Linked DNA regions of Diceros bicornis minor. The protein of the gene in region 1 interacts with the protein of each later gene in a pairwise test. Links are inferred from orthologs where the notes say so. Each region holds a gene or a part of one and is shown on either strand. Other genes may lie near its edges.

Evidence for each region.
Region 2: the proteins of MAPK8IP3 (region 1) and LDLRAP1 interact in binary tests that used the Homo sapiens proteins (3 or more experiments, as listed by UniProt). The two-hybrid records come from large-scale screens. The link is inferred for Diceros bicornis minor from reciprocal best matches to the Homo sapiens genes MAPK8IP3 and LDLRAP1.
Region 3: the proteins of MAPK8IP3 (region 1) and KLC1 interact in binary tests that used the Homo sapiens proteins (3 or more experiments, as listed by UniProt). The link is inferred for Diceros bicornis minor from reciprocal best matches to the Homo sapiens genes MAPK8IP3 and KLC1.

What each region holds. Positions count from the first base shown.
Region 1 is NC_080765.1:46,694,883-46,702,854, forward strand, and holds the start of MAPK8IP3 (C-Jun-amino-terminal kinase-interacting protein 3), read right to left. Parts: upstream 3,066-7,972; 5' UTR 2,975-3,065; coding exon 2,657-2,974; intron 1-2,656.
Region 2 is NC_080752.1:41,574,745-41,582,481, reverse strand, and holds the start of LDLRAP1 (low density lipoprotein receptor adapter protein 1), read right to left. Parts: upstream 3,063-7,737; 5' UTR 2,999-3,062; coding exon 2,911-2,998; intron 2,633-2,910; exon of another isoform or gene 1,941-2,632; intron 1-1,940. UniProt on the Homo sapiens protein: Adapter protein (clathrin-associated sorting protein (CLASP)) required for efficient endocytosis of the LDL receptor (LDLR) in polarized cells such as hepatocytes and lymphocytes, but not in non-polarized cells (fibroblasts).
Region 3 is NC_080763.1:48,267,820-48,275,618, forward strand, and holds the start of KLC1 (kinesin light chain 1), read left to right. Parts: upstream 1-4,752; 5' UTR 4,753-4,900; intron 4,901-7,799. UniProt on the Homo sapiens protein: Kinesin is a microtubule-associated force-producing protein that may play a role in organelle transport. The light chain may function in coupling of cargo to the heavy chain or in the modulation of its ATPase activity.

The DNA.
Region 1 (7,972 bases):
CCCCTCTCCCTGGACCCCACATCTCTAGCGACCATCACTCCCATCCACTGAGCCACCCTGGGACCAGAACATACTCGCAATTCCTTGCTATGGTTATCACGAGCAAGGGGTAATTTGCTCTGCTCAAGGCTTTTTTAAAAAAGCTGCAGATTCTGTCTGCTCAGAAGGCCGCAGGCAGCTCAGGTTACCCAGCTCTGACTAAGCCTTCTTGAGTAGAGTGGCCGGGGACACAGGAGCTACTCTGCAACATGAACATGCCTGCAGCGGGTGACGTTCCAGCTTTTGTGTCACCAGACACACATCTGTGATCCCAATTCCCTGCCTAGAGAAAGGAGCCGATCCTCAGTGCATAGTAGTCTTTTCCACAAAATGGAAAATGAATGTCTGCTGGATTTAACAAATGAGCTAGAATGCCAAAATGGTAACAGTACTGGCCCTTTCCTTTAGTTGTAATATCACCTGAGGTCTTTCCAAGGGCGTCCTATTAGCATCTAATCACAGCCTAGATACTGGCTAGCCAAGCATTTGTTTGCTTTGTGGCTCTCTGCTCAGGAAACTCTGTGCAGCTTCTCTTAATAGCTGGGGCAATGGTGGGTCTCAGCCTTGAAGGCAGTCTCTTCTAGACAACACACGCACCCCCACCTCTTAGTCCACGGGAGCGGAAATGGAGGCCAGAAGCACACTCGCTTGTGGCTGCACTTGAACTGCGCAGAGCAGAGGCCTAATCCATGCACAGCTAATTTTTAAGGTAGAAAGTCGTGACTCTTAGCCTTAAGGTTGTCCATCTCGGTTTTCTCCTTTTAATTCTGTCTCATCCACTATGTTGACCACACAGGTACAGGATGAAAGAAAACAAACCTACTTGCAATCTCAGTTAGGCATCAAACAGCCACTGAGAGTGGTCAAAGAAGTGGAGGGTGCTGCCCAGCACTAGGGAGGGAACCATAGCCCCATGGCCGGGTGAGGGGAGCCCCAGAACTCCAGTCTGGGAGTGCAGCTCTCTGACCTCCCAGAGCAGCATGGCACGGAGAGAAGAGCCCTGGTGAGGAGTCAGGGTGGACTGGGTCCTGGCCTGGCTCTCCTACGGCGCGAGACCGTGGTCCAGCCACCCCCCACTTCTCAGAGCCAGTTCCCTCCCCAGTAAATGCCTAGGGCCACTCTGAACTCTAAAATCCTACAAGCTCTTCCATCCCCTTAAGTTGAGAGCTTTAAATCAGTTTTGGTGGAGCCTGGCACCCCAATCAATAGACAACAGCCTCTTGACAGATACACAAAACCCAAAAGCAAAATAAACCACCTTAAGTAGGAACGATACAAGGCACTGTTAATTTTTATAAAGATGCTTTAAACCAAACTAGGGCATAAATCACTCTGGTTTAAGAAAAAGCTCAAATATTGGAACAATTTTCTATTTCTATCTAAAGTCAAGAATGTGTTACGCCGAATTAATTGAAAAGGAATTTAGCTCATTTAATAAGAAACTTCCTATTCATAAATCAAAGAGCATCACCTAACGCCTGGAATGACAGAACGTCAGGGCTTAGAGATCATCTAGGGCAACTGACTGATTTGGCTGATGGAAAATCAAAATACAGAGCAGGCAGGCGACACAGACAAGGTCACAGAGGCAAAGCAGGGATGAGAACCCACATTCCCCGAATCCGTTTGGGTCTGGCACCGCAGTCAGGGCTAAATATTAGATGGTGAATGAATGAAGTTAAGTGGTATTCCCTGCACGGTGCTTCTAACTGGTTCACAAGTAAGTGATTTCCAGGTTATGGAGATATCTAGAACACAATCAAATATTTCAAAATTCTACTTTTAACTCCTGAGAAGCCAGAGTAGAACTTCTCAGCCTTTTCCACATAAACTAACAACCTTCCCAACCGAGGGAACCACAAGGCAGAGAAATGATCTCCGGAAACCGGGAGTCTTTCACCTAGTGCCAGAGGAGCAGCCTAACTGCGGCTTTTGTTATGTGTTTACATCAATTCCCAAATTCGCCTATGTCACACACCTTCAAAACAGGGATTAGGGACAAGGAAAAGGCCTTCTGACAACAGACCTCTTCCGGCCGCAGAACCATAAGATCAGAAATCTCTCTTCTGAGAGGAGAATTTAGAATTGCAGCAACCAGAGGTAGTAATTGGGGCCTAGGAAAATGGTTTGCGAAAAACACACACAAAAGCATAAAACCTGGCATCTGGAATGAGAGGCGAGTATGGAGGGGAAACGGAGGCCTGGCCCGAGGCTAAGGGCTGTTTAGGCTGCAAGCTCCCCCGCTGAGGCCAGGGGGTCCTGGGTTCCAGCCTGGGCTGGAGCAGCAGGCCAGGAGGAAGGGGGTGCCAGGGCTCATCCCTTGTGCCGGGCTAGGGGCTCCGGGGCAATGGGGGCCGTGCTGCGATGGGCGGGGGGTATGAAGACCAGGCAGGAGTCCCCGGCGAGGGCTAAGGCGGGGCGGGGGTTCCCGGGCGAGGGCGGAGGGCGGGGTCCCCGAGCCGGGGGGGTGGGATATGAGGACCAGGCGGGGCTGAGGTCCCCGGACCAGGGCTGAGGGCGGAGTCCCAGGGAAGGGCCGGGGGGTGTATGAGGACCAGGCGGGGCTGAGGTCCCCGGGCGGGTTCCCGGCGCGGAGCCGCGCGGCCGGCCCACGCACCTCCTCGGCCTGCTTGCGCAGCGCCTTCTCCCGCTCGTACTGGGTGAGCAGCTGTTCGTTGTCCTCGCGCAGCAGCTCCAGCTCCACCTCGTGCTCCTGGTTCTCGCTGAGCACCGAGTCCAGGTTCTCGAGCACGTTGACCACGAGCGGCATGAGCTCCTTGACCACCTCCTCGTCGTAGCAGTGGATGAGGCGCTCGAACTCGCGGTAGATGGAGCCCGCCAGGCCCGACACCCGCTCGGACATCACCGAACCCGAGCAGTAGTCGTCCTGGTATACCACCACACCGCCGCCCTCGTCCATCTGGATCTCCATCATCGCGGCCACCGCCGCCGCCAGCGCGGCCCGCTCTCCGCCGGCGCGCCCGCCCGCCCCGGCTGCCCGTAGTCTGCAGGCCGCGGCCCGTCACCGCCGCCGCAGCCGCTGTCGCTGTCGCTGTCGCCCGAGGGCTCAGCCGCCGCCGCCGCCGCCGCCGCTGCTGAGGCTGCGCCCGTCACTCAGCGGCCGGAAGTCCCGCCTGCCAGGCAGAGGGGGCGGTGCCCGTCCCGCTGGAGCTCCGCGACCCCGCACCGCTAGGGGTCGCAGGGGCCGTGACGTAAGAAGAAGCCTGTCTCCTGGCCGGAAGCTCGGCCGAGCGGGGCAGGCGGCGCTTCCGGTCAGGCGTTAGAGCTGTTTCCTGCTGCGGCTGTCGTCTTTAGCAAGTTCCTTCTGGCTCCCACGACACTGTCCCGGACTTTGAAAGACGTAGCTTATGTCCCGCAGTATATATAAACGATTGTGTACGGCTTAGAGACTTAAACGAGCATCCGGTGCCCACTCTCCCTGCAAAGAAATGGACGTTATCCTTGTGCGCACCTCCCTTCCCCCAGGGTGACCATGATGAGCTGGCTAACTGTTCTGCTTCACCTTTATAGTTGTACTACACAGTAGTGCATAGTCCTACTCAGTAAGTTTTCAGAGCTTCCTTTCAAATAGTGCCTCTCTACCGTCCGATTGTCCCTCCTGGGATTCCAGTTAAATGCAAGTTGCCATCTCATCCTAAAATCCAGTAACGAGCTTTTAGTCCGTCTATGTCCTGCATTTTGTATAACTTCTTCAGATTTCCCGGTTTTACTTCAGCTATGTGTTATCTGTTTAACTCATCCATTGAGTTTTTAATTTCAGTGGTTAAATTTCTATTTGTCCTATTTGATTTTCCTATGTTCTACCAGTTTTGATAGGCTCTTATTTCTTCCACTTTCAGCTACTGATTTTAAATCTCTTTAGTAAGCTTTTTTTTTTTGACATCTAATTACAATTATCTGCAGGCTTTGCAGGTCTGATTCTGCAGTCTGTTCTTTTGGTTGACTCTTGCTCAGGCTGCTCCTCCCCTCCCTTCTGAGCTGGTATTCCTTGGAACTTTATCTATGGAAATACTTTGAGGCCTGAATTTAAAATGAGTCGCTCCAGAAGATTTGCATTTTCTTTCACTGGCATCTGAGGACACCATGAACCCAGGACTTAGACTTTCAGCTTGGGGGCCACACAGGTAGTGTGAATTCTGATTTACAAAACCCATTAGTAAACACTTAATGCTGATAGAAATGCTCTTACTCCTTTCACCTACTGAAATGCTTCAAGTTCAGTTCATCCTCTCATCCTAACCTGACTGTACCAAATCAGTTAACTATTGTACACATCTCTCCCTTGCAACCTAATTTGCTGTATGGATGCTCACCCACCCTAATAAGAGACAAACTGAGGTTTCAGTCTCAGATTCAGAGTGCCTGAGTTTTGATCCTAGCTAAGTGATTTAATCATCCTAAATTTCCATTTCCAAACCTGTAAAACTGAGCCTAAAAATATTACCAACCTACCAGGACTGTTATAAAGATTAAGTAAACTAATCCATGAAAGAGGCTTAGCACCATCCAGCAAATGAGCATGCAATATGTTATGTAGAATTGTTAGTTTTATATTCTCAAAATGATAAGCCAGGACAAACAGATGAAATGTTTAATTTTTGCTGGTGAACAAGTTATAGAGAAAGCCTGTGAGTGTTTTGGGGAATGTTTAAGACTTCTGCCTTAGGCCTTTTTCAGAAATTTGACCCCTTTGTATTCCTGAAATAACAAATACAGTAGAGCAGCCCCCACTACCACAGTGAGAGGCCAAATGACTTGGCCATCAACTTGATTAATTTTTATTATTAACGTGATTGGGCAGATTTGTTATTTGAAATTGGTTAAAATAAAATGAAGTTTTAACAAGATGATATGCTGGATAATTCTTGCTGACTGAAGAATGCAAGTAGTACACTCCTGAGAGCTCAAGATAACTGAGTTAGAACTTACTTTTTAAGAAAGAATAGGCTTCCCTTCAGATTTGTAAAGATAGTTTGAGATAGAACTTTTCCTCCTTATAAGACCTTAAAATGTAAGAGGAACACACAGGTTTCATAAGTTCTACTTTAATTTCTAAGTATCTACCCCTAATGCTTGCTAAAAAGTCACCTTGGTCCCTGTAATGTCCCTCTCATTTCTTTCTAAGTCGAATTTTAGATAGCACGTTGTAGTCACACATAGAACAGGAATATTTCATTCGGGATTTCCAAGTATGCTAAGGATTAATATAATGAGTTCAAAACAAATGAACTGGGTAACATAGGTATATACATCCTTGCAAGGCGTGACTCACAAAGAAATGTTATGCCTCATCAAAAGCGCCAGTGTATTTCTGGACAAGGCACAGGACTGGAGGCAGCAACCCTTGGATGTTACTCACTCCCTCACCAGAACATAGCGGGAGCTACCTCAGTCCTTTCCGGCTCAGCCATTGTCTGGCTTCTGGAGACAAACAGGTTGTGACACTCTGAGACCTCAGTGCTCGCCTGTGCCTGAAGCGGCTGCTACAAATAGGTAATGTAATGTTGCCAGTGCCTAGCCCAGTTCTTGGAACATGCTCTGTACTCCCCAGCACGTTTTCAGATGAATGAATGAAGACAGCGTCCAGTAACCCATGTTCCCCACGTAGGGTTTCTTTCTGTAGTGCTGTCCTGGTAGCTGGCCCAGTCCAGCAAGCAGAATGGTGTGGAGCCTCCTGTAAAGGGTCTCCAGGCAGGCAGTCTGAGGAGTCTCATCACCCTGAAATTATGGAATGCACATAAGGGTATCAAGTTTCCCTGTAGGAACGTGAAAATAGCTAATATAGAAAGAAAGACCTTCAATCTGTGCATTCTCTGCAGGACTTGACACTACAGGCAAACCCTGCCAGCGTAGCACCTCATCTTGTCATTACAAGGCTCGTCACTCAAAGTCTCAAAGCCAACTCAGAGGCAAATTCAATACCTTCAGTTCTGGGCCAGCCCCGTGGCTTAGCAGTTAAGTGCGTGCACTCAGCTACTGGCGGCCCGGGTTCGGATCCTGGGTGCGCACCGACGCACCGCTTCTCCGGCCACGCTGAGGCCGCGTCCCACATACAGCAACTAGAAGGATGTGCAGCTATGACATACAACTGTCTACTGGGGCTTTGGGGAAAAAAACGAGGAGGATTGGCAATAGATGTTAGCTCAGAGCCCGTCTTCCTCAACAAAAAGAGGAGGATTAGCACGGATGTTAGCTCAGGGCTGATCTTCCTCACAGACACAAAAATACCTTCAGTTCTTTAGGAAAACAAGCGGTGTAAGAGAAAAAAGATCATTACTTTTAACTTACAGAAAGTAAAAAGAACAGGGGCATATTCCCACTCATTCTACTCTAAGTTTTTGGTTTTCAAAAGAAAAGAACCTTAAATCCATAACCTTTGAGAAGATTAATTTGGGCATCCTCTGACTAAATGAAAAAAAAAGAAAGGAATAAAAAAAGGCAAACCCTGTCACCAATGAAAAGCTGAAAGGGAAGCAGAGTTCAGGCACTTTGGAAAATGGATGTTGAGAAAATCATGTGTGCATGCATGCACACACACACACGCATGCACACACACCAGGCAAAGACTTTGAGTACATGATTGCTAAGTTTAATTCAACTGTTATACCCAATTCTGCCTTGTAAAAATAATAAAATGTTCTTATCAAAATTACATTGCAAGTGTGTACAGGTTTGGTGTTTTGATACAGCTCCAGAAAAAAGTTGGCACCAAATGCACATAAAAAAATTTTAAGGCTTAATAAAAATACAACCTAGTAATTTCTCAATGCAGCTTAGAGGTTAACAGGATGCTAAGAGTTAATGAATCATCCAAACACAGGCAGTCCCCAGTGTACAGAGCATTTTCCCAATACAAATGATTACCCCCATCGGGCTCACCTGAGCAGAAACTCCTCTTCTGCTTCTCCCAGTGACCAGACTAGTCAGGCACTCTAACCCACTGCTGGGGTCTCAGGAAGAGAAACAAGGGGGGGGGGGGGGCGGCGACACAGGGAGTTCTGTCACTGCTGCCCAGAAGCTCTTTCTGTGTTCATGTTTTCCTCATTCTCATCTCAGGTTTCTCCCATCTCCACCGAGATCCCTGCCAGTGGACAGAACTGGAGCGCTCTTCCTCCCACTGGCTGACAGTGAGGGTGGGATGAAGCCACAAGGGCCAGCACCACAATGCAGGGTTCTTCTTGGCAATCCAATTTGGAATTCACAAATCATTTTCTTGTACAGTAAAAAACCACAACAAAACAGTTATAAATGGGAGTTCATTTCTACCATCAGAACATTTTAAGTTAAACAAGTTAGTGTGTTTGGGCTTAAAAGCTAACCATTTATAACATTTTTTAATGGGTAAAAAATCCTCTGAATTCCAAAAACTTGCTTGTAAATGACCATTTGAAGGATGGAGACAGGAAGTACTTGATAGAGTCACATAAAATGAGTGTTTCTTGGCTCCAAAGTCAGAGGGCAGTTGAAAGGACAACTGTCTTTGGTTGACAAAGCCACATGCAGACCCCCTCAATGTACTGGGTGTGAGAAGTGGGGCTTGGCAGGCAGCACCTGTAGGCACTTAAGTGTCTGGGCCACTGTGAGTGCAACTAAACACAGCTGTTGCTTTTCGAAATTTTAATAATGATGAAGATATTTCTAGCACTTGGCATTAGCTTTGTAGGCACTCATACCTATAGCTACCACCACCCAAATCCTCTCCTGTGAACTGTTGGTCCAACATGAGTGAAGTGTAGGAATTGAGACTGTAGCCCTTTAGAGCCTGCATGGAACAAATTGGAAGCAAGTATCTTTGCTGGCAAATATCATGGAATTGGCCACTTAAGATTCTGCTGCCAAACTACTTAATCTCCTGGCCTAAGGTCTCAAAGTCTCTTCCGGAAACTATGAATATGGTCCAGAGATTCTGCAA
Region 2 (7,737 bases), on another chromosome or scaffold:
CTGGGGCATCGAGAGCTCCCATCTCAGCAGCCGCGCACCCAGCACTGACAGGAACGACCGCTCAACCGGAGTGACTGAGGAGCACGTTCCACGCCGGCTCCCGGGGCCCCAGGCAATGGCACGCCAGTCGCCCAGTGTGGTGTCTTCACACTGTCCACTTCCTGACTTCCTTCCCTCTCACTCCTCCTGACAACGTCTCCTGGGATCATTTCCCCAAAACACGACTTGCACTCAGATCCTTGTCTCGGCATCTGCCTCCAGAAGAGCCCAAACGAAGACACCACGCTATCTAACGAAGCTGCCCCATCATTTCCCCACCCCGCTTTATCTTCCTTCAGAGTCACCACTACCCACAATCACGCCACTCGCTCGCACCCTGGTCAATCTGCCTGCCTCCGCCACCAGACTGACCGTTCGCCAGACTCCCGCACGCCTCCACCAGCGTCTGATGCATAGTCGGCGCTCAATGAGCATGATGGCTTATTTATAATATCTTCTATTGTAAGTATTATAAGTGTGCATAGATCCTCCGTCCCCTGCCCACCACCATTAACTAGCTTTCCTGGAACCTGCGCCTCATGTTTCTTTAGCCCTTCTCATTGAGTTCTCTGACAGACTGGCACAACCCACGGAGGCGCCCGAGGGTCAGAGGACCCCAGCACCCCCAACCTGGACACACTCAGGGCTTCCCTGTGGCCACCACTATCCTCAGGGGCTGCCAGCCCAGCCTGGGGTGGAGACTGCCCCCAGCTCCCCCTCCTCCCAGGGCCAGAGTCCATGAGGCACAGGGATAAGCCCCCTGGGCTGGGGATCTGGGATGCTGCCTCTCAGAAGCTCTATGCCGGGGCCAGTAACTCCACTTCCTTGAGCCCCGGTTCCTTTATCGCTAAAATGGGTCTGATAAGAATCCCTGCTCTGTCACCTCACAGGGGCAAATGAGATAATGGAAGCAGAAACACTGTGTAAAACATAAAGTGACAAAAGCAGCAGCTCCATTTATTGCACTCTTTCTCCATGCCAAGAAAACACGATTTCATTCAAACACAAAAATCAGAGGTGGGAACAACTGTTATTTACAATTTACACATGAGGAAACTGAGACTTAATAACGACGGACAGCTGGGGATTAGACCCAGCTCACCCTGGGTCCAGAAGGCTCAGGACAGCACTCTGGGGGTCTGTGAGGGAGGGGGGCTCTCCTCTCCTTTCCTCCGCAGGTGTAGACAGGCCCTGAGGCCCCAAAACTTGTTCCATCACAGTAATCATCATGTGGAAGGTCCACATGACAGCAATGGGAGTCGGGGACAAGGAAACCACCAATTAGGGGCCAGGAGGAAGCATTATTATCAACAACCTTCTCAACACCCCTGCCAGGTTAGAATTTTTATTCCCATTTTGCAGATGAGGAAACTGAGGATCAGAAAGGACAAGCTTGTCCAAGATCAGAGCAGGCAGGAGAAACTCCTTTCCACCACCCAGGGTGGCTGCCTCTTCCCTTCTCCAATTTCAGAGGGGCTTCTAAGATTCCTTCCCTTGCCCAGCACCCCTTCCCTCCCTCATCCCAGGAGAAGGCTGCAGAGTTCCCCCACTGGACTAGAAGTTCTGGTCATCTCAGATCATCTCAGAAGTTCTGGTCAAATCCCACAAATATTTAAAAGGTCTATTTTGGGAGCCAACAAGGGAGGGAGACGGTGCATCCCTGGCCTGGCCCAGCCCTAATGAGTCTCTGACCCCACCTCCACCCGCAGGCACCAACCCAAGCTCCCAATGCCAGTCTTAGTTTAGGAGGCGGCCACAGCTGGAACAGGAGTGGTGCAAGAGGAGGGGCAGGGCGGGCTCTCTAGGCCCAGACACGCTGGCACTCCTGCACGGAGGAACGCGGGCTCCCCTGGTGGAGCCCTGGAAGGCAAAGAAGGAAGGGGGGTGGGGTGTGACTATACCGTCAGGGCTTTCCTGGAGTGGGGAGTGGCCAGGTCAGAGGTGGTTGGCAGGGGGTGGGAGTGTGCAGGAGTTCTGGCTCCATATCCACCGGGAAGGTGTGTGTGACCCCAGGGAAGCCACTCTATTTTCCCTCGTGAAAAAGGAGAGACTTGGGCTGGGTTTCTCAGGCCTCAGGGGAAGGTGCCAGGTGACGGGTTCCCTGAGAGTAACCTGAGAAGGGGAGAGAAGGGGGGCCAGGCGAGGCCCCTCCCTGCCTCCCAGACGCCCCCGGGAGAGGTGGCGACGAGTCTGCCTTTCGCCTGGGAGCCCAGGGACTTCGGAAACCCAAGGGGGAAAGTGCGAGAGAAAACAGGTTTCAAAAACAGCCGAGACGCCAGCCTCGCCACCTGGACCCGGCCAGAGGAAGGGACGCAGGGGACTAGACAGTCCGATGTGTGCTGCCTCCTGAGAGCCCAGGCTGAGCCTCGCCCCCACCTTCAAGTAGATACCTGCGAACCTGGGCTCACACCTGAGTCGGTTTCCGGGAGCCCAGGAGTCGAAAGATGACCTCGTGGGTTGCACTAGGGGACCGGGCAAATGGGCTCCCGCTGGCCGCTGACCTCTAGGCTGGCGCGCAGGGGTGCGGGGATGGGGGCGTCTTCCAAGCCCCTGCACCGCCCCCTCCCCCGGGCACCGACGCTGAGCTCCTGCCTCCCCGAGCTGCCCAGGGCGGGGAGGCGCTGGGGGTCGCGCAAGTCTCTTCTTACCTGCAACCCCTCCGACTGCCGCCTGCCCCTGGGGACCGCCAGCTTCTGCCCCCCTCCCCAGCTGCACAGAGCGGGGGCGGGAGCGCGATGTGACCCCGGGCGACCCCCCACTCCCCAGGGCCGCAGGGCGCAGGTCAGGCCTCGCCGCTCCCCCGGGCGCCCGCGGGAGGCCGGTCCGCGCGCTCCGACCCCCGCCCGGCCCGGCGGACGCGCACACACTCACTCCGGTGCCGGCCGCCGCGCGCCCAGCTCTGCTTGGCGAGGCTGGGGCTCCGGATCAGCGCCCGCCCCGCGGACTTGAGCGCGTCCATGGCCGCTCCGGCGGCCGCCGCCAAAACTCCGGCAGGAAAACTTTCCGCCGCGGCCGGGCGCCGCGCGCTGCTCCGCGCTCCTCCTCCCCACGCGGGCTCCGCGCCGACGTCCGACGGGGCGGGGCGAGGGCCGACCAGGCCACGCCCACTGCTCCGCCCCCGACGGCCGGGCCCCGCCCGGCCCCTGCCCTCGCTCCCGGGACCTGGTGCGCCGCGCTCCCGAGGCTGTCCAAACAAAGGGCGCCCGTAAGGTAGTGAGCCGAAAGCCCTAGACGCCCCCCTTTTCCTCCCTGTCTCCAATCCTCTTATTCTCCACCCCATAGGAGGCTGAGGGCCCGAGAGCCGCCTCCGTCACCCCGCCTACACGGCGGCCTAGGATTTCTGGACAGCCCAGCTGAAAGATACTTGAAGACCATTTTACAGATGGGAAGACTGAGGGCTGGAGAGTAGGGTCTTATCTAAGAGACGGGAGGTGCACTGGGCAGTGGGGGGCTTAGAAGGAGAGGTTGAGGTTGTAGAACTTTGCTGAGAAGGGGACAGGAGTATAAAAGTTTGGAAAACCAGTGGTACTTGACTCACCCAGTGGCACCCAGGCTGCTCCCTGGCACCACCTGGGCACGCTGGGCTGCCCCTCCCCACCCCACTCCCTAAGTAGCCTCAGAGGTGGTGTGGCCTAAGGTGTTCTGCATGAGGAAAGGAGCCTTAGCTCTGACACTGACTTGCTGTGTGACCTCAGACAAGTCCTTCTCCTCTCCGGGTCTTGATCTTGATCTGTGAAAGGAGATGGGATCCTATCTCTAGTGATCCTTCCAACCTGGCAGGGCCAGGTGCTGCATGACCTTGACCCAGACCCTGCCCTGCTTGCCGGGAGGCGCTTGGAGGGGAGTCTGGATCCTAGAATTCCTCAATCGCAGATGTTTTAACTCCAAGATTTAGAATTCTCTCTAGGATCCTGTGCCTTCCCGTCAGGCTTTGTCAAAGGGAGTCAAAAGAAGGGCACAGCCCGGCTTCTTCTAGATGGGGGTGCCTCGGCAAGGTGACCTGAGCCTCTGGGCTTGCTCCTGGATCAGAAGGCAGGAGTCCTGTTCCTGGCTGGGGGAAGGACGGGTGTGGTAGCCCCAGCTCGAGAGGGAGGCCTCGCTGGTGTTTCTCTCTCGGGTTATAACCTAAGTGCTTTTTCAGCCCTTCTGTCCCTTGCTCCTCCAACAACACTGCAACAGCAACACACCCACTTTACAGATAAGAGCCTGAGGCCCAGGAGAGAGGCACTCACTGAGGGTCCCTGCCAGTCAGAGGCTGCATCAAACTCAAATCCAGGCTCCCAAGCCGGAGTAGAATGCCAGGGGTTTTAACCCAACTTTCTTTCTTTTGGTGTTGGTGAGCTCACTTTTTGAGCCTCATCTGTAAAAGGCGCCATAGTACCTATTGCAGAGGGCTGTCTGTAAGGATTAAATAGCATGAATTGGAAAGGCTGAGTCCTGTACTTGAGAACCCACCTATAAATTTGCCTCCTCCGGGAAGCCTTCCCCAACTACCACCCATCGGTTAGGCTTCTCCCTGTGGGATCCCACAGGCCTGAGCTTTCGGCGTTGCAAGTGTTGCTGCTGCCTGTTTCTGTTCTTCTCGCCCCCACTAGACTTTGTGTCCTTCAAGGGCAGTAGGTATTTCTGACTCATTTCTGAATCCCAAATGCCTAGCAAGGGGTCCAAATGGAGTTGGGATACAGTCAATGTTCCTTCCTTCCTTCCTTCTCCCCGCCCCCGCCTCTCTTCGGCTTTTCACCACACCAGGCTGTCCTCTCCCACAAAGGGCTGTGGCAATAGGCAGGTCGGTCCTCAGGGCTGAGCCCCCCAGCTCTCTTACCCCGAGCCAGCTGGGTTGTGGGGCAGTAGAGAGCATGCTGGGGCCTGAAGGAAAAGCAATCACCCAGGGCTGGCCGGTGAAGGGCAGCTGGTGGTGTCCGGCTGGCAGGGGGCACCATATGGGCCTGGTAAGCAGGCAGGCCTGGGAATGCTGTGCTGGCAAGCAAGGCTGTTTACAGGGCCATTGCATCCTCCCGGAGGTGTCTTGCTGGGAGCTGTCAGCCATGCGTCCCCCACAGAGGGGCAGCCTGCTTGTGTCCCTTCTGCCAGTCCCAGATACAGAAGCAGAAACAGAAGGTCAGAGCTGTGAGGGGCCTCCTCTGAGGTCACTGTATCCAAACCCTCATTTCACAGGTGAGGATCTTGAGGCCCAGAGAAGGGCGGGGACTTGCCCAAGGTCACACAGCAAGCCAGGAGCAGAAGCCAAGTCTCTTGCCTTTCAGCTTGGATGCTTATAAAATCAGAGAGGGAGCAAAGAAATCTTGATTTTTTTCTTCTCTCTCTCTCTCTTATTTTTTTTTTGCTTATCTCATCTGACTTTGTAAAAATTTCTACAGTGATCATATATCCTTTAGTAATCAGAAAGAAAAAAAAACAATAAAAGGGAGGGAGAAGCTACCTATGGGAGTAACTGGCTTTTGTCTTTAGGAAAATGGTGTCAGAACTGTAATCTTACTGTGTCCTCCCCCAGTGGGCCCTCGTGGGACCCCAGTGAGACAGTGGGTGCCAGGGTGTGGGAGGGCTCTCAGCTTCTCTCCAGCCATCACTCGGGCTTGCAGTGGGACCAGGACGGAAGCCGAGGCTGGGGTCAGGAGCCCTGGTTTCCTCAAGTGCTCTGTCCTCCCTGCTTCCCTGAGCCAGTCCCCTCACCTCAGTTTTTCCATCTGTAAAATGGGAATTTTTACTGCAACATGTGTGTTCTTAGCCTCCACTAGCAGAGCACAGTGGTGAACACAGGGATGCTGGAGCCTGGGATCCCATCTCCCCCACTTCTTTACTTCATGACCTTAGGCAAATCGTTTAATTCCACAGGCCTCAGTTTCCTCATCTGTAAAATGGGGCTTATACCTCATGGATGGTTATGAGGATTAAAAGAGTTAATGTTTGGGACGTCTTTAGAATTATGCCTGGCTATAATAAGTGCTAGGTATGTTGCATATTTTTTATTTTTTTAAATATATTTTTTTAAATTTTATTTATTTATTTATTTTTCCCCCCAAAGCTCCAGTAGATAGTTGTATGTCATAGCTGCACATCCTTCTAGTTGCTGTATGTGGGACGCGGCGTCAGCATGGCCGGAGAAGCGGTGAGTCGGTGCGCGCCCGGGATCTGAAGCCGGGCCGCCAGCAGCGGGGTGCGTACACTTAACCGCTAAGCCACCGGGCCGGCCCTGTTGCATATTTTAATAAAACTAAAATATGCAGGTTCCTGATGGAGTGGTTATTATGATCATAGTTCCTGACTAGCCCCCAGGGAAGGGATTGGAACCATCCTGGCCCAGTCTGAACTGTGGGTAGTCCAGCCTCACCCCAGAGCCCCCCACCCCCACTTCCGACTGGTGGGGTAAGGCCGCCCCCAGCCCCTTGGGCCCAGGTCTGAGACAGCCCTCTCCCAGGGAACCAGAGGGAACCTGGTGAGTCAGAGCCCCAGGGATTCCTGCTTCGATTCAGCTCTGCCCTTTCACCCAACCCACAGGGCCTCTCCTGCCTGCTGGGTCCTGCTGACTCAGCAGCCACAGCCCTTCCCTCCTCAGACTCTTTCCATACTGCTTCTTCTTCCAGAAACATCCCTAGCCATATTGCCTCCTCAACTCCCCAGCCTCCCCACCTTTGCTCAGAACATCTAATTGGCCTCCTCCCCAGTACCCACAGTCACAGCTACCCACATACCTATCTTCCCTCCCCAACACACACACACACACACACACACACACACACACACTCACTCACTCACTCACTCCTAGACAACAAGGGTTTGACCTTAGGGTTGAACATACCTGGGCTCTAAAACCAAATCCTCCACGTATGTATATGCAACTGTAGCTAGCTGGGCCTCAGTTTCCTCATCTGTGCAATGGGGACAATACCTGCCTTAGAGGTTTTGTAAGGCTTCTGTGGGGTGATATGTGGGAAATGCTTAGCCCAGTGCCCGGCATGTGGCAAGTGCTCAGAAAATGGTAACTCTGGCTATCATTCATTTTTTATGGTTATTGGTGAACCTGTCTGCTTCCCAGCCAGCCCTGGTGGTTAGGTGGTTAAGATTCAGTGCTCTTACCACTGGGGCCTGGGTTTGTTTCCTAGTCAGGGAACCACACCACGCATCTGTCAGTGGTTATACTGTGGCAGCTGCGTGTTGCTGTGATGCTGACAGCTGTGCCACTGATATTTCAAATACCAGCAGGGTCACCCACGGTGGGCACATTTCAGTGGAGCTTCCAGACTAGACAGACTAGGAAGAAGGACCTGACCACCCACTTCCAAAAAAATTGACCATGAAAACCCTATGGGTAGCAGCTGAACATTGATACAAGGCCGGAAGGTGAGAGGATGGCACAAAAAGACGAGGCAGGGTTCTGCTGTGCTGTCCACAGGGGCGCTAGGAGTCGGAATCTACTGCCAGCACTAACAGCGGCACACTTGCCTCCCCAGCAGCTGAGCGTCCCTCAAGGACGGGGACTGGAAACGTCCTTCACCCCAGGGTCCCTGGAGCAGCTGACCAGTGCCTGGCAGGGGAGGTGCCCAATACACATCCAAGGACTTAAGTTCTGTCCGCTGGTTCTCAGAGTGTGCCCAGCAAGTGAGGGACCCGCTGCAGCACCTGTAGGGGCTGGAGGAGGTGCCCCTACCTGCCCAGACTGCCCTCCTGGGGAGGACCAGC
Region 3 (7,799 bases), on another chromosome or scaffold:
CATCCAAGAGAAATGAAAATATGTGTTCCCCAAAAGACTTGCATGAGAAAGTTCAGATCAGCTTCTTTCATATGAACCAAAATGGAAGCAGCTCAGGTTCTCATCAACAGGAGACCGTCAAACACACAACATCATGGATGAACGTCAACACTATTAGTTGAGTGAAAGTTGCCAGATACAAAAAGCAGATACGGTAGGATTCCACTTATATAAAATGCTAGAACAGGCAAAACTAACCTATAGTCAAACAAAACAGAACAAAGCAAAGAAGGCCCATTGGCTAATTGTGGAATCTCAGTGGTGGGTATGTGTGAGTTTGCTATACAAGTTTTTCTGTCTGTTGACACATTTGGGGACAACAAATGCAGACACAGCCAGACTGATCTTTCTCTAGCACAGGCTCCATTGCCCTCCCTGCCTGCATTGAAGCATCAGTCCTCATCTGGAGACATCCTGGGTCCCACGGATGGCTCTGTACATTGGTCTCACCATCCAAGACGGCTTCCCTCATGGCCTGGTGCCCCAGGGGACAGCCAGAAGGCAGCGCTCAGGGGACAGGGATGTCTGGGCCTCTCCAGCAGGGCAGCTGGCCTTCTTACATGGCCACTCAGGTTCTGAAAAGCACAAAAGTGAAATCTCCGGGGCCTTCTTAAGGCTTCAGCCTGGAACCGGCTGCCTCACTTCAGCTGTACTCAGAATCAGGCTGGCCCAGAGGGCGTGTGGAGGTGACTGGTCAGGAATGCTGGGGACCCTGGAACTCCTGCAGGAGCCAAGCTTCACCAAGCAGGACCCAGGCCTCAATCCCCCTGCATCAGGGAAAAATGTGTGAGAGAGAGACTGAGGGAGCAGGCTGGGCTTCCCCCCAGAGCCAACCCACTCCCTCCTCCCACTTCCTTCCTACTCAAAGTGCTGCTGTTTTCCCCTTTGTCCGAAGGCGAAGGCGCAGTCACTGGGGCTTAATGCCAGCAGCTGCAGCTCTTTAAAGGAAAAACACCCTGAAAATCTGATAAATGCCATTTTCAAAACTGAAGCCAGAGACCAGAGAGGGTGTGGCTTGTGGTGGAGAGCAAGGCAGAGGAGCCCGGATTAGCCCTGGCCCAGACACCAGGCTGCCCCTCCCCAGATGAGGCGCACCAGCCCCTCATCCCCTGCCTCATGCAGGCTAGGCATTGGCCAGAATGAGGGTGAGAGGTGGGGGCCAGGCTGGGGGAGGGGGTGGGAGGAGGCCGCCCTGGAAGAGAGGGGGACAGGGGAACGCAGCTGGCTGGCGGGGAGCTGGGGGAGTCCTGGCTGCACTGCCTCTGCTTACCCTCCCAGCTCCTGTCCCTCCATGTGTGTGCAGCCCCTCTCCTGACAAGGCCACTCAGACAGGTCACCACTCCCATCCCAAGGACACACACCCAAGTACAGCTTCCCAGCCCCACCAGGCTGCCAAAATGAGACTGTGTGGTTGGTTCCACGTTGTGCATCTCTTCCTGCAGTTCCCCCACTTGGACCTTCATCTGCTGGGTCCTTCCCACCTACCATGTGAATGTTCCTCTTCCATGGAGTCCCCTGATCCCTGAGGGACATACAGCTTCCCCGCTCAGCGCCTGAACCAGGCCTCCTGTCTCTGCTCCCGCGGGTTGTCGGCTCCCCCACACAGGGGCGCCTTGTTCTCCCATTGCGCAGCCTCGCACCTGACACTAGTGGTACTCCATAAATATTGGGAACGGAATGATTGGGAGACTGTATGCTCCTGGTTTATCTCTGACGTCCAGGTGCCTGGCAAACCGCAGGAGGTCAGTGTTGCATCACTGGACGCGTGTGGATGTTTTCACTCTTCCTGGACCAGGGACCTCAGCCCCAGCTTCATCTGCGCACTGTAGGCTGCCTCCAAATCTGTACTCCAGCCCCAGCCTCTGTTTAGATCTCCAGGCTGCCTGTTGATCTGTCAGGTTTCGGAGCAGGAGAGTGAAAGAGTCAGAGCTGGGAAGGAGACAGAAACAGATGAGGGCAGAGGACACAGCCTCTCCCTTTGGGGAAAGTAGGAGGATGGAGAGACAGAGACAGGCAGAGAGAAGGAGGAGGAGCTGGCTCACACCACGCAGGATGCCTTTTCCAAAATGGAAGAGCGCTTACAAGGGAGCAAGGAGAGAGCCTGCTCCCTGCTCTCACGTCTGCTGGAGGAACCCCTAGTCCTGCTGCATGGGGGTGGGGTGCGGGCTGGGCCCTGGCCAAAGGTCCCTGGCTGCCCCCTGGGGCACAGTCCTACCCCACCAGGACCCTAGCTAACTCAGCAGGCTGTTGGCCACAGGGATGCTCAGAGGCCACTAGGACTTGTGCAAACAGGTGTTTGCTTCCCTGGGCCCTGGTCCTCTGGGTTTGTAGGGAAGAACAGATAATGGGTTTGCTGCCTGTGAGTAGCTCTGCTGAGGCTCCCCCACCACAAAGGCATTGACTCCTGGCTCTGCTAGTGCCTGCACTGGGAGCAGGGCTCTGTTTTGATTCCTAAAGCTGAGTTACTCCCTCTCTGGGAAGCAGCAAGCAAACCACGGAACTTGCAGGGCTTCAGCTGCAGCATCTGTTAAATGGGGATAACAGCACCTCTCTCGGAGTTTCTGTGAGGAGCAGAGGATTGAAAGGGACTGAGGACGCTCAGGGCAGGGCAGCTCAGTGAGGGCAGGACTTGTTAGTCTTAGTTTGAGACGCTGGGTGAGGAAGGCGCCAGCCCCGCCACTCTCAGAGGGATAGGTGCATCGCAGCATTTTCAGCAGGGAAGTGACGTGGTCAGATTCAGGATGTGGTGGATGAATTGGCCTTTTCTTTCTTTTCCCCAATACTGCAGACTCATTCCTGCCTGAGGACTTGTGCCTGGCGTGTTCTCCCCCAGGCTTTGCACCGTTGGCTCCTGCCTACTATTTAAGTCTCAGCGCACCTGCCTGCCTCAGAGTTCACCCCGACCACCTCGCCTCTGCCTGTTGCATCATCTTACTTTAATTCTCTGCATGGCACTGCATGAGCAGGGATCTTACTATCCTGTTTACCAACATATCTTGGCTCGTATCGTGCGGACCACCGCAGCTCAACAAATATTTGTTGAGAGAATAAAAGAACGAGACAATAAAGCCTAAACAGAGTGGCAGCAGTGGGGATGGAGAAGGGATGGAGTAAAGCAACATTAAGGAGGTAGATTCTTGGCCACCCATCAGAAGAGGGCATAAGCATCTCAGGTTTCTAGCTTGGGGACAGTTACTGAGTCCAGAGTCACAGACAGAGAAAGGAGCCTCGGCTCCTCTCTTCTCCAGAGCACTTTGGTCACAGCTGCCTCGCCCAGCTCCAAAGTGGTTGAGGAGCAGGTGACATCCAAGCTGCAGTGTGGCCAAATCACTACCAGAGTGTGGAGGGGTTGTTTGACTCTGATTCACTGCCTCTCCCTCTGCCCAGTAACTGCTGTGTCACTGTAGGAACTCCCCCCTTTTTACCTCTTCTTTGCATTTATAAACGAAAGCAAAGTAACTGGACCTCCCTGTGAAAATCTAGGAGAACTTACTTCTCCGTGACTGTGTAATTGCGGGGTTAAAACAGGGCGGCAGGGCTGGGTGATAACATCTGAAGAGCAGTTGAAGAGCGAATGGGGGTGGGAGATTGGCACAGGAACCCCTCCTGATTAACGGGGCCCTGCACTTGGGACATCTGCAGGCACCTGGGGCGCGGTTCTCCCAAGCTGGTGGCAGGCAAAGACAACTGAGCCTTGCGCACTGATTCAGCATGCTTCCTCCTGGCTGGCTGCTGAGTCAGGCCTGCAGAGCTCGCGATGCAGCAGGATGAGGCCAGGGGCTCTCTCTGACCTGGAAGTACTGCCCTTCAGGCGGGGGCTGGAGGTTGTGGCACTGCAGCCCGGTGTGTGCGCGGGCGATGGCGCCGGTGGGGTGCGACAGCAGGGAGTGGCATCTCTGCTCTTGCAGGCACTAGTGGTTAAGCATCCCGGTCTCTCTTACCAGACTGAGGTGCAGTTCGTGGGAGGCCTTTGTGGCTGACGGGAGGGCCCCGAAATTCCCCTCTATTTCTGAGGCTGCAATGGTCCTGGGGAGAGGGAGTAACGAGATGGGAAGGCGCAGGGGTCTGGGGTCCCGGGTCTTGACCAAAGGCTGTAGGTTTTCCTGGAGGAGGGAGAAAGGCCTCCTGGCTTAGCCTAGCCTCTCAGCATTCTGTCCTCTGGAGGCGCTGGTGAGAGCCCTCCTAACGTGTTCTGGAAAGAAGCAGACGAGCACATGACACACGTGCATACGGGGTTGCCACACAGCGTTGTTCCTGGTATAGGAGGGAATGGACGGGACGCAGGGCTGACCGACCGGCCATGCTGGGCCGGAGCCGTCCTCAGGCCACACTCCCAACCGCGCGCCGGGAGGGACGACAGCCTGGCGCTAGGTGGTCGGGGGCAGCCGCGCCCGCGCGGGGCCACCCACGGCGGGCACACGCCCCGCCCCTCTCGTGGACAGCCGGCACACGCCCCGCCCCTCGCGTGGACAGCCGGCCCCGACCGCACCCGGTCCTCGGCTAGCCAAGCGCCGCGGGAGCCACCCCGGGCCCGCCCCCGGCATGACGTCACGGCGACGCGCGGCATTGTGGGGCGGGAGCGCCCAGCCGGGGGAGGGACGCGGAGACGCCATTTTCGGCGGCGGGAGCGGCAGAGCCGGAGCCGGCTGGGTGCGGGGCGGCGGCTGCGAGAAGGAGCCGCGGGGACAGCGCGGGCGGGCGGCCGAGGATGCTGCGGGGCGGCCGCGCCGGCATCCCTCGCTCGTGACCGCGGCGCCGCGTCTGAGGCGTCCAGGCGGCGGGCCCGCGCAGTCCCGCTCCGCGCACGCGCCGCGGCCTCCCGGTGCTGACAGCGCGAGCGCGCGGCCGGCGGAGCAGCACGGTGAGTGCGGGCGGGCCTCACCCGCGTCCCCTCCTCGGTCCCCGTCCTCACCCCTGTCGCCCTCAGGCCCTCTCCCGACCCCGCCCCGGGCCCAGTCCTCGGTCCTCAGCCGTGGTTATTCCTCTTGCCTTCCCGTTCCCGGTCCCCTCCCCGGGCCGCAGACCGCGGTCCTCATCCACGTCCCCTTCCTGTCCGCTTCCCGGCCCCCTCCCGGGGCCGCGGACCTCGGTCCTCATCCATGATCTTTTCCCGTCCCTGGCCGCCGCCCCATTCACGTCCGCTCCAGATTCGGGTCCCGTGCGCGTCTCCATCCCGGCTCGGGTCCCCGCCCCAGCCCCGCCCCAGCCCCGCATCCACGGCTTGGCCCTGCTGCGGGCGGGGGCGGCCGCGCCCGGGAACAGCTGTGGTCCCGGGAGCCGCGCGACGGGGGATGTGGCCGCCCCCGGGACGCGGCGGGCAGGAGGGGGCGGCCGGCCGCGTTTGCTTTGTCCGAATCCTCCCTCTTCCTTCCGGCCGCCGCCCTCTCCCGTGGCACCGCCCTGGGCGGGCGCGCCTGTCAGGCTCGCGGGCGACCGGCGGCCGGGCGGGTCGGAAGCGTGTGGGTTCCCCCGAGAGGCCGGCTCGACCTCGCCTCCTCGGCGATCCCTTTCTTTTAGTAGCAAGACGGGTAACCTTTCATCCTCAGTGTTCGTCTAAACTTACAGCAGCCCCAGTGCTGGAATATCTAGTTGGTTGTCAAATGTGGTGCATCTCTTTCCTTGAAAATATTAAATAAAGGACTAAAAAAGTAAAATTAGTGCCTGGTGGATTGGATGGTTTTACAATTTAAGGTTTGTAGATCTAGGTAGTTTTGTGTTGGAAATTTTATATTGTTGCTGCTTATTACTGTTTTTTTATTTAAACAGCACATTTAGAGTTTAAAGAGTACTTGCAAAAATGATGTTTTTAAAAAGTGTGAGAACAACAGAAAATTTGAGATACACCGTTTAACTGCTGGGTAAATGGGCAGTTGGTTCTTTGATTCTTTGCATTAGTTAAATTCCAAGGCTTTTTTTTGTACAGCATAACTGAGCCATTGATCAGAGTCATTAGCTCAGAATACATTGTAATAGTTCAGTGAAAAACCCATTAGGAAATTGGAACAACCTCCTTAAATCTCATAATCTTATTACAGTTCCAGATTTATGTTTTTCAGGCACTGGCCACAGGCCTTAGGGTGGGAAATTTGATTCATTGTTGTTTCCTAAGTATCTGTAAGAATGCAGTGATACTAAATATTACAAATTTCAGATTGTGTGGAATTATATGTGGGAGGGTAGGCACTCTTAAGAGCCGGTTTCTCCAAGTCATCAAAGAATGCAACATCATGTTGCAGTGGAGCCTGGCAGCCCTGTGCTGTTACGGAGGGGTGTGGAGGACCCAGGGTGTTAACCTCACTGCGGCCTGGCTCATTCACCTTGCTTGGCAATGTCTTCTAAAAACAGTGTAGACAGTATGTAGTAAAGGTAGAAAGACATGCACGGGAATGAGGACAGTGATAGTCTCCAGCAAGGAGGAGGGAGGAAATGCCACTGGGGAGGGGCATATAATATCTTAAATATTTCATAGTAATAAAAACTTAACTACAGTTACTTAAAGTTTACATTCTTTTTTAAAATTATACATTCTTAAGAATGTTTCATAATGTTGAAAGATAGATAAGTCAGTGTGTAGCTTTCCATATGGGCTATAAACTATCTTAAAATATAATTGTGTCAAACAAAACCCAAGAAATAGAAAAGTCAAAAGTTGAAAAAATGTAGAATTTTTATAACCTCCAAACATAGGTGGAATATGATGAGAAACCAGAACTTTATGTTACAAAGAAGTGATCAGTAATATTCTGAACAAGATACAGGAAAGTTTTAGGTGTCAGATTTCAGGGCATAGACTAAAAATGATTAGCATGTTAAGATTGTAAAAGCACAGTCTTAAACATCTTTTGAGAACCAAACGAATGGCAGGTGCTGTGTTAAGTAGTTGGGGATATACAGATAAGACTTCTAAGAGCTCACAGTCTGGCGAGGGAGATGGGAGAAGTTGAGAAGTCGACAGGTATTACAGATTAGGTTAAATACTGTGCTGAGTGCCCTGAGGAGGGGATTCCAGATATGAGACTGGAAGGAAAGTACAAATTGGCCAAATGACGGTGGGATTGGTGGTTCTGGAGGACATAAGCCCTGAGGTAGTGCTGCAGTAAAGGGGAGTGTTGGGAAGGGGTGTGAGTGGAAAGGTGTTGTACAGCCTGCATAAGGGGGTTGCTTTCACCCTGAGGGTAGGAAGGACGATTGGAGGATTCTAAGGAGAGAGGTGACATTTTAGAAAGAGCATAGGCAGTGTGGCAGGTGCTTTGAACCGAGATAAGACTAGTTAGGAAGCCATTAACCCCAAGTGAGGACTGTAAACTTTTGAGTTAGGGCAGTGACAGTAGGAACAAAGGAACAGATGTGTCAGAGAGGGATTGATGGACTAGAGTGGCCCTGAGTTGGGACTGAGTGGATTGGGGTAAGGGTCGGGCTGCAGGCAGGAAGAGACAGATCAGCAGTGTGCCCAGCCACAGCGAACTGCTAAAACATAAGGCGGGTCATGTCTCTCTGCTGAAGTTTTTGCCATTGTCCTGTAAGCACCCGCATCCCTGTCTCTTTCCCTCTTCATATTCTCACCCTCACTGAGGCACATCCAGGTGCATCCTAAGCCTGCTGTCCTGGGTGTCACTGTCCTCACTTCCCCACACACTCCCTAGTACTTCTTGCTACAATACTGTATTATTGTACTTAATTATTATTTAGTTTATTGTCTGTTTTCTCCACTTAACATCCATAAGCTCCACGAGGATGGGGATTTTTATCTGTTGTAGTCA